Linked DNA regions of Nothobranchius furzeri. The protein of the gene in region 1 purifies or fractionates together with the protein of each later gene. This does not show direct contact. Links are inferred from orthologs where the notes say so. Each region holds a gene or a part of one and is shown on either strand. Other genes may lie near its edges.

The links.
Region 2: the proteins of ndufaf3 (region 1) and ndufa13 purify together in Homo sapiens (co-immunoprecipitation; 3 studies listed by BioGRID and IntAct, with this or other methods). This does not show direct contact. The link is inferred for Nothobranchius furzeri from reciprocal best matches to the Homo sapiens genes NDUFAF3 and NDUFA13.

Annotation. Positions count from the first base shown.
Region 1 is NC_091743.1:68,499,986-68,504,347, forward strand, and holds the start of ndufaf3 (NADH dehydrogenase [ubiquinone] 1 alpha subcomplex assembly factor 3), read left to right. Parts: upstream 1-1,381; 5' UTR 1,382-1,448; coding exon 1,449-1,537; intron 1,538-2,981; coding exon 2,982-3,177; intron 3,178-3,283; coding exon 3,284-3,350; intron 3,351-3,808; coding exon 3,809-3,909; intron 3,910-3,979; coding exon 3,980-4,081; 3' UTR 4,082-4,362. Other genes in the region: nckipsd (NCK-interacting protein with SH3 domain), read right to left, coding at 3-115, 611-781. UniProt on the Homo sapiens protein: Essential factor for the assembly of mitochondrial NADH:ubiquinone oxidoreductase complex (complex I).
Region 2 is NC_091751.1:56,690,039-56,693,797, forward strand, and holds ndufa13 (NADH dehydrogenase [ubiquinone] 1 alpha subcomplex subunit 13), read left to right. Parts: upstream 1-1,441; 5' UTR 1,442-1,651; coding exon 1,652-1,745; intron 1,746-2,318; coding exon 2,319-2,397; intron 2,398-2,484; coding exon 2,485-2,556; intron 2,557-2,647; coding exon 2,648-2,717; intron 2,718-2,948; coding exon 2,949-3,068; 3' UTR 3,069-3,171; downstream 3,172-3,759. UniProt on the Homo sapiens protein: Accessory subunit of the mitochondrial membrane respiratory chain NADH dehydrogenase (Complex I), that is believed not to be involved in catalysis. Complex I functions in the transfer of electrons from NADH to the respiratory chain.

The DNA.
Region 1 (4,362 bases):
ACTGCAGGACATCTCGTTGCTCCAGGTTGTATTTGCCTCCGTTCTTTAAGGCCACATTGTGGATCCCTTCTATGGCTCGATCGATGGACTGCAGGACCTCGTCTTGCTGTGGAGCCTGGCACAAACACATCGACAGAAGCTGAAGGGATGAAACATTCATTACTGTGGCAGCATGCAGGATTATTAAGTGTGTGACTGGGTCAAACTGGGACAAGCTGGGAAAAAATGGGACTGTGATCTAACAACACCCTACATTCAGGCTTAATTAAAGCTGCACAGACGGTGTTATCAAGTACAGGAGGGAGCTCTCTTCTTGTGACACAGCCTACAAGCTCTGACTAGTTCCTGCGATATAACCAGGGGTGTGACCACGAGGAGAGGAAAACAATGCTTTCTTGTCTCTGTTATCTGTTGCTGTCCCACCCTGTGTCCTCTCAGCAGCTTTTCGACCTGCAGCCTTTATAATAAATTAATGCATGCGATTTCCACCTGACTAGACAGCTTGCTCTTGGCCTGCCCTGCTGCAGACAGCACCACTCTCAGGGTTCCACTCCACGCCTCGCCTCTATTCACTAAATAGGCAAAAACGGGGGTTAAAAGTGAGTTTTACCTGAATCTTTTCGATGTAAGAAGCAGGGATGTAGCCGGTCTCCCCGGAGCTACAGCGGGACCCCAACCACCAGTGTTTGTTGCTTCTCTCCAGGATTAGAAAGCTCTCTCCGGCCGCGAAGTGCAGTGAGTTGGGCTCCACGGATCGGAAGGCGTACAGAGACCGATACATGATTTAGTTTATCTGTAACAAACCGAAAAGTGACACAGAAATAACCTGTTATGAAACAAAAACCGAATGAAAAGATCTGCTCCGCAGGGGTGATTTAAAGAGCCCATGAAGTCTACGGTGAGCGGCTCATGTCTATTTACAATGTAGCTCGGATCATCTGACCTGAGCGAGCGCTACCAGAACAGGCCACAGGGGGCACTGATACACCCTAAATACGCCTATCAGACAGTTTAATCAAACCCAGAGCTAAAATCTAATTTGATTGTGAAAAATGTGTAATACATTTATTTTCATTTGAAGTGGAAACATTTATGAAGTTACAATTAAATGATGTAAAATGTAAAAACATTTTACTTGACGATTAAAGTAAGGTTACGGTGTTGTACACACGCAGGGATAGAGATAGTTTTTCTTCCATCTTACATTTGCAGAAAGGATTTCAGCATTTTGAATCCTTGTAAATATGTTTCAATGTTACATTATTTGTTTCAGAAAGAGTTGAATTATATATGTATTAAATACACACACACACACACACACACACACACACACACACACACACACTGTTGGCGAGATAAGAAATGTTCGATTGTGCTGTGCATAGCACCGGAAGCAGCTGCCTTAATGGTGTCACAGAGAATTCCGTTCCCCTGTTATACTCGTCAACATGGCCACTGCGGTGTGCAGCAGGATGCTTTTCCAGAGGTCGACTCGAGGATTTCTGTCCTTTTCCAATACAATTCCTGCTTTCTCTTGGTAATTTAATTTTTTCAACAAAAGTATAGAAATCCTATTAGTTAAAAAAGAAAATAAGGTCAATTGCAGAGTTAAAAGTTGGTGTGATATTGAATTGAAAGTGTTATAAAGGTGATGTCTGTTTTGATAATTAGCCTTATTAAAGTTGTATAGCATTATTTTATAGTATTTAATAAAGTGTTTTAGTGTTTTTATTTCACTGAAGGTTTAAATTTCCCGCTTTATTGATGCTTTATGAATGTTCGTCGGTTCAATTTCCTTAGATTTACTTAAGGTTAGCCTCAAAATGGTTACTTATATCTAGGGTAATTTTCAGTTTTAGTTAGTATAATCATTTTCAGTCTAATTGCGCAGTTTAAAGTGTGTTGCTCAATCATTAAATCTTCATATATAATGTGGAAGTATTATTCAAAAGTCTTATGACTATTTTATAGCTCACATGTGTATGTTAATGAGATTTCCTTTACAGGAAGTGTGACTTGTGATACTTTGCAGAAGTGTTGCAGAATAGATGCAAACTGCTCTCCAGACAGCAAGAGTCCAGTAGGTTGCCGTAGTTACAGTTCAGACTTGAGCAGAACTTGTGATGAAGTTCATAATAAATAACAGGAAATGTATGTCTGAAGCAGATGTAAATGAGAAGCAGAAGATAGATGGACACAACATAACTAAAATGTTCCAGTACAAGTTAGGGAAAGTGTCCTTATTTGGTGAAAACTGAACTATTGACCTTTTATTGCTGATCAGAAAAGATGATAAACTGTTAAAGTGTGTAAAGGTGCAGAAGGAACACCCTTCTTTCAGTAGAGAATGACATTTGATGTTTAAATTCACTGACAGGACCTCCCTATGTGTGTGTGCTTGTGTAACTTTCAAATTAAAAGGCTGAGGGGGAAACTGAAAAATCATAACACATTACCAGGTTACTGCTCGTGTGCATCTCATCTCAGGCCAACCAAGATCTTGTGTGTGTACATGTTGATGCTTAAGGTGCAGGTCTCTTTTCAGGCTCACCTCAAAAGAATCAGGAGCAGAGTGAGAGAGGAATTTACTTAAAAGTAAAGAAGAATCTCACCGCAACAATTACTGGAAGTTTTGTTGAATGTTATGAAAAATAAAATGTGTTTACATATTCTAACAGACTAATTGGCTAATTTAGCTAATGTTGAAATTAAAAAGCATTGATTGTGTAATGTGATGTGTACAGTGTAAATTAAGCTTTTGGCTGAGGACCCCATCAGTAGGTGGTTTGGCAGATCTGCATTCCTCTGACTTTCTAAGAATATTAAAACTATGGAAGAATATACACACACTGGATTTATTCATTGTCCGTTACTTGTTTTTCAGTCTAGAAACAAGCTTTGCATCAAGTCACTGACAATAAACAACAGAATAAAGCCCATTTATTATTGTTTCTAATCTAGTTTTCTGTCTCTTTTTCCAGCCCATTTCTGTCTCGCGCTCACAGATTGGAACCTGGTGATGATGAGTTGTACCAGAAAACCACGGTGTCCATCATGAAGAAGGAGGCAGACAGTGGGATCATGATCCACAGCTACAGCCCCATAGGATTTACCGTAGATAGTAACCAGGTGCTCGGGCCCTGTGCTCTGCTGCCTCCTGCCATCCTGCAGTGGAACGTGAGGTTCATCTCCAGATGTTCTACACAGCTATTAGTGTGCCGCATCACATCATTCTGTTTACAAAAACTGATCAAGAGTTTGTTTTAACTGTCTGGTTCTGCAGGTTGGTAGTCACGAAGACATCACAGAGGAAAGCGTCTCTCTTTTCCACATGATTGCACCAACAATTGGTATGAATGAATGCACACTGATATAAAGATGTTTGTGTTTGGCCCGTTTTAATCTTCACTGGTCCAATTTCATCACCTCAAACTTGGGTTTTTTAGCTGCTTCATCTTTAAGAGAAAGGAATTAAAACAGGTTGTAGCTTGAATGATGCTGCAGCTTCCATGATGTATTATTGCTAGACCACAAAAACATGCAAACTCCTATAGAAGACCCCAGAAAGTATTTAAATGGTCCTTCTAGTGATCTAGTGAGAAAAGTAAAGGAATTCAGCCATTAATCTAATCCCTTCATGTTTTAATGATAGTATTGCAGGCTGCTATTTCTCATAGAAACTTGCGTCAATTGTATACTTTAGGTGACCATTCCTAGTATTTTCTACTCTTTATTCTGTCTGTGTGTTTATATGTAGCTAATCATTTAAACTTAAACACTTTTTAATGTTTCTTTCTGGTTTATGAAGAGATTCTTGTGCTGGGAACAGGAGCCCGGCTTGAGCGAATCAACCCCTTAGTTCTTGCCTTACTGAGGCGTAAAGGCATCGCTGTGGAGGTGCAGGACACGGTAAATATTTGTTCAGCCTTCATGACTCTCAAACCACAAATGTTTTTATTATTTAAACTTTTTTTTGCAGCCGAACGCATGTGCAACATTCAACTTTTTGATTAGTGAGCGAAGACTGGTCGCCGCTGGTCTGATTCCCCCGTCTCTGAGCAAAGCTCTGGATATTAAATGAGACTAAATGTGGTATTGTGAGAGTGAAAGCAGGACAGACTCACTTTGTTCCAAGGTCAGCCGGCAGAGGAGCTTCCAAATGTGTCCAGCTTTACCGAACATTGTTGCAGCAGCCGCCGTCTCTTACTGACTGGAGTCTAGTTTCATATTTTCTCAAAAGCAACAAATGGTTGGCTGCATGTTCAGAAATCTGCTTGTGCGTGAAATGTTTTGCATTTTAAGAATAGAAGCATCTGCATGTAGTTGCTCTGGTGAAAGTTAACAGTGATGAAGTCAAACTGT
Region 2 (3,759 bases), on another chromosome or scaffold:
ACTTCATACATTCAAGTAGCTTTACTTGAGGAGCTCTATAATGCCGCTGAAAAACAGGTTATAGTTTGAGCAAAGTATTTTTGATGCTTTCACAATGTTTATTGAAAATAAAACATCCCTTTATTGCACCAAATACACAAAAATCCTTAAAGTACTCAAAAAAATTTACATTTTAAAAATAAATATTAAAAGACTTGCAGATTTTTACATGGAGTGATAACATGAAAAGAGAAATGTGCAAATGAGATATGACTGGGTGCAAAAAATAACTGCAAATAACAAAAATGTGTGGGGGGCAGACAAAAATTTGAAGTGGTGGTTGTAAATTTTGACGTTCAGTAACAGTCCGTGTACTCATGCAGTCACTTAAGAAACTCTCCAGCTCCACAATGGCTTCATGTATGGGTTGGAGACATTGTCTCAGTGATGTTAGTTTTGCTAGTCCTTCCATCTCTCACCTGCACTGGATCAAGTAGGACATAGCTGACCACCTTAATGAGCTTATCTAATCTCTGTGTCTCAGCAGTAGATAAGGGCTTCCCAACTGCTCCCCCCAACTAACCCCACCAGAAAAGATGGCTGATGCCACCACTGAGTCAAACACCTAGATCACACCGATTGATTTATAAGGAAGCCATACAGAGTCAGGACCGCATCTGTTCCACATTTGGTATGAATGAAACTAAATAAGGTCCTTAGGAGCACTCCCCTGCATTCCAAAGGAGATCTCAGCAGCTAGAGTCAGCTCTGACCCTTTCTGAAAACAGCATCTGCATTATGGCTCCTGTCCATGGTGAATGGTGGAGTCCTCGGATGCTGAGGGGAGGGTGATGGTGAAGGACGGAGTCCTCTGGGCTGATAGGTCAGAGGAGGTTGGGAGATAAACTCGGTTGTGGGAGAGGAATGAGGGGATTGTGAAGGAGTGGCAGAAAAGGTGGGATTATATGAGCAAGGAGAGGCATTTATATAATGTTAAGAAGGAGGTGTTAGGGCATGGGGTGAATAGGGGCAATAGGAGAGAAGAGGTAGTTGTTACCAGGCTCAGATTGGGTCATTGCTCGTTGGACAAAACTCTAAAAATGATAGGTAAACGTGAGACTGGGTTGTGTGGAGTGTGACAGGAGGAGGAAGAGAGGGTAGAGCATGTAATTCTGTGGTGTAAGGGTTATTTTGTGGAAAGGGAATTTCTGCGGAAAAGGATGAGGGAGAGGGGTATTGAGGAATTCACAATGAAGAGCGTGTTGACGAGTTGTAGGGTGCAGATGAGGGATTTGGTGGAGTTTCTTAAGAGTGTAGGGGTTTTTCATGGGGTGTAGATAGGAATAGTTATTTTTGCTGTTGATAAGGAAGGGGAAAGAAATAGGGTGCAAAAGGGGAAAGAAGGAAGGAGGATTAAATGAGAGGGAATGGAGAGTGAAGGTGTAGGTTTTAGATTGTGAGCTCACTGTCTGGTCCATACTCCGGAACAGTTGGAGGCGGTAATGCTCCATTAAGCTGGTTGCCAACCGCTGCTAAACACCAAGTAGAAGAAGAAGGAGGGGCTCCGGCCGTATGGGGGAGCTGTGGAGCACCAGAGTCCGTGTCCCAACAGAAGAAGACTCCGTGGATCAAGCAGGCTGACGTTCGGTTCGTTGGAGGAGGCTGGATAAAGATGTCGGGCTCCAAGGTGAAGCAGGACATGCCTCCTACAGGAGGATATGCCCCCTTTGACTATAAGAGAAACCTACCTAAACGAGGACTTTCGGGTAAATGCGCATTTCCCTCACCTATTTACCTTCACAGACCCACGCAGCGGAGGTGAAATGTTGACCATTCACGTTTGTTGTCGGTGTGGCTAATGCTAGCTGCTCAGCGTCAACATGAAACTGATTATTCCAAGTCAGAATTAAACTACCCGGGGGCTTGAGGCTTGAATTGGTATGTTTACCTCTTAATTAAGAGGTAATTGTCAAATATCCGAGCAAGAAGGAAGTCTGTAAAATACCATAATCGCTCCATGAATCGTTTCTGACATCGAAAGCTAACTGGTGGCTAACACGAACCAGTGTTTAGTTCTCTAGTCATTAGTGTTCGGTCCAGAAGTGAAAATAACTAGTGTTCTTTTTAAGTGACCATTAGAAATAACCATAGGAAAATACCAAAGCTATTGTAAATTCAATACACAGTTGTACAATAATAAATAATATTGTTGTATTAATAAAAACATTTCCTCCTCTATGAATACAAGTTGACCATATTCCGTCTGTAACATCAGACCAACAAGAAGTAGTTATTTGAGCATGTAAAATTTTATACTAATATATTTTACAAATCAACAGGTTATAGCATGTTTGGCATTGGCATCGGTGTCATGCTGGTTGGTTACTGGCGAATGTTCAATTGGAACAGAGAGAGGCGGTAAGAAAATCTCAATTATGTAGCTTTCAGGTTGTATAGTAGTCACATTTGAGCTGATGATAGTGGTATATTTGGTTCGTATCACAGGCGCTTCGAAATGGAGGAACTGGAGACCAGAATAGCATTAATGCCTCTGATGCAGGCAGAGCTTGACCGAAGGTAAAAAACAACTTCATTTATCTGTTTTTTCATATTAATATCAGGAGCAACTAATCAGTTCTTTCATCGTTTTGGGTTTTCATTCTTCTAGTACCTTGAGGATGCTGAGAGAAAACTTAGAGGAGGAGGCGATCCTCATGAAAGATGTTCCAGACTGGAAGGTAAAGTTATTAAAATGCTCAATAAATATAAAGAGTTCCTGTCAGCAGTTTGTTTTACAAAGCCACAAACTATCAGGTTAATTAAACAGCTCTTATTTTTTGTTTATACAATAAAATGTATTTTAGATTGTTTTAATAAGTCGGGCAAATTAACATTTTATTGTGTCTAATTGGAATCCACTGATTTAGTTCTGTGATCTAACTCAAACTGTAATTTTAAAATGAATGCAGGTTGGCGAGAGCGTCTTCCACACGGACCGCTGGGTCACGCCTCTGACAGAAGAGCTCTTCAACCTCCGGCCACGCGAAGAGCTTTTGCACCAGAAATATGGCTTTGCGTGGTACGTGTAATCACAACTGGGGAAAAAAGCCCCTAGCCTCAACTTTTGTGTGAATTTTAGCCTTCGCTCACGTCACCTTGTAAATGTAAAATAAAACAACTTTTTTTCCTGTACCATCTCTGATTTGTCATCAATTTAGCTTATTTAATGTCTGACTCCAGATTATTTAAACCAACTTCGCGCATAGAAACCTTTTAAGTTCATATGTGTATATATAAATAACTCTAGATGGCACATTATTAAAAACTGGTCTGAGTACAGATGGACCCTGTTCCAGAATGATGGTAGAAGAGAGCCAGATGAAATGATGCACCCATCATGCCTAGTGCCTACTGTACAAGCCTGTAGGGGCAGTGCTATGATCTGGGGTTGCTGCAGCTGGTCAGCTCTAGGTTCAGCAACAGGATGTGGTCCAAGAATGAGGTCCGCTGACTACCTGAATATACCGAATGACCAGGTTATTCCATCAATGTTTTCTTCTTTGATGGCAAGGGCATATTCCAAGATGACAATGCCAGGATTCATCAGGCTCAAATGGTTGAGTGGTTCAGGGAGCATGAGACATCATTTTCACACGTGGATTGACCACCACAGAGTCCAGTCCTTAAACCCATTGAGAATCTTTGAGAAGTGCTGGAGAAGGCTTTGTGCAGCAGTCAGACCATCATCAATGCAAGATCTTGGTGAAAAATGAATGCAAC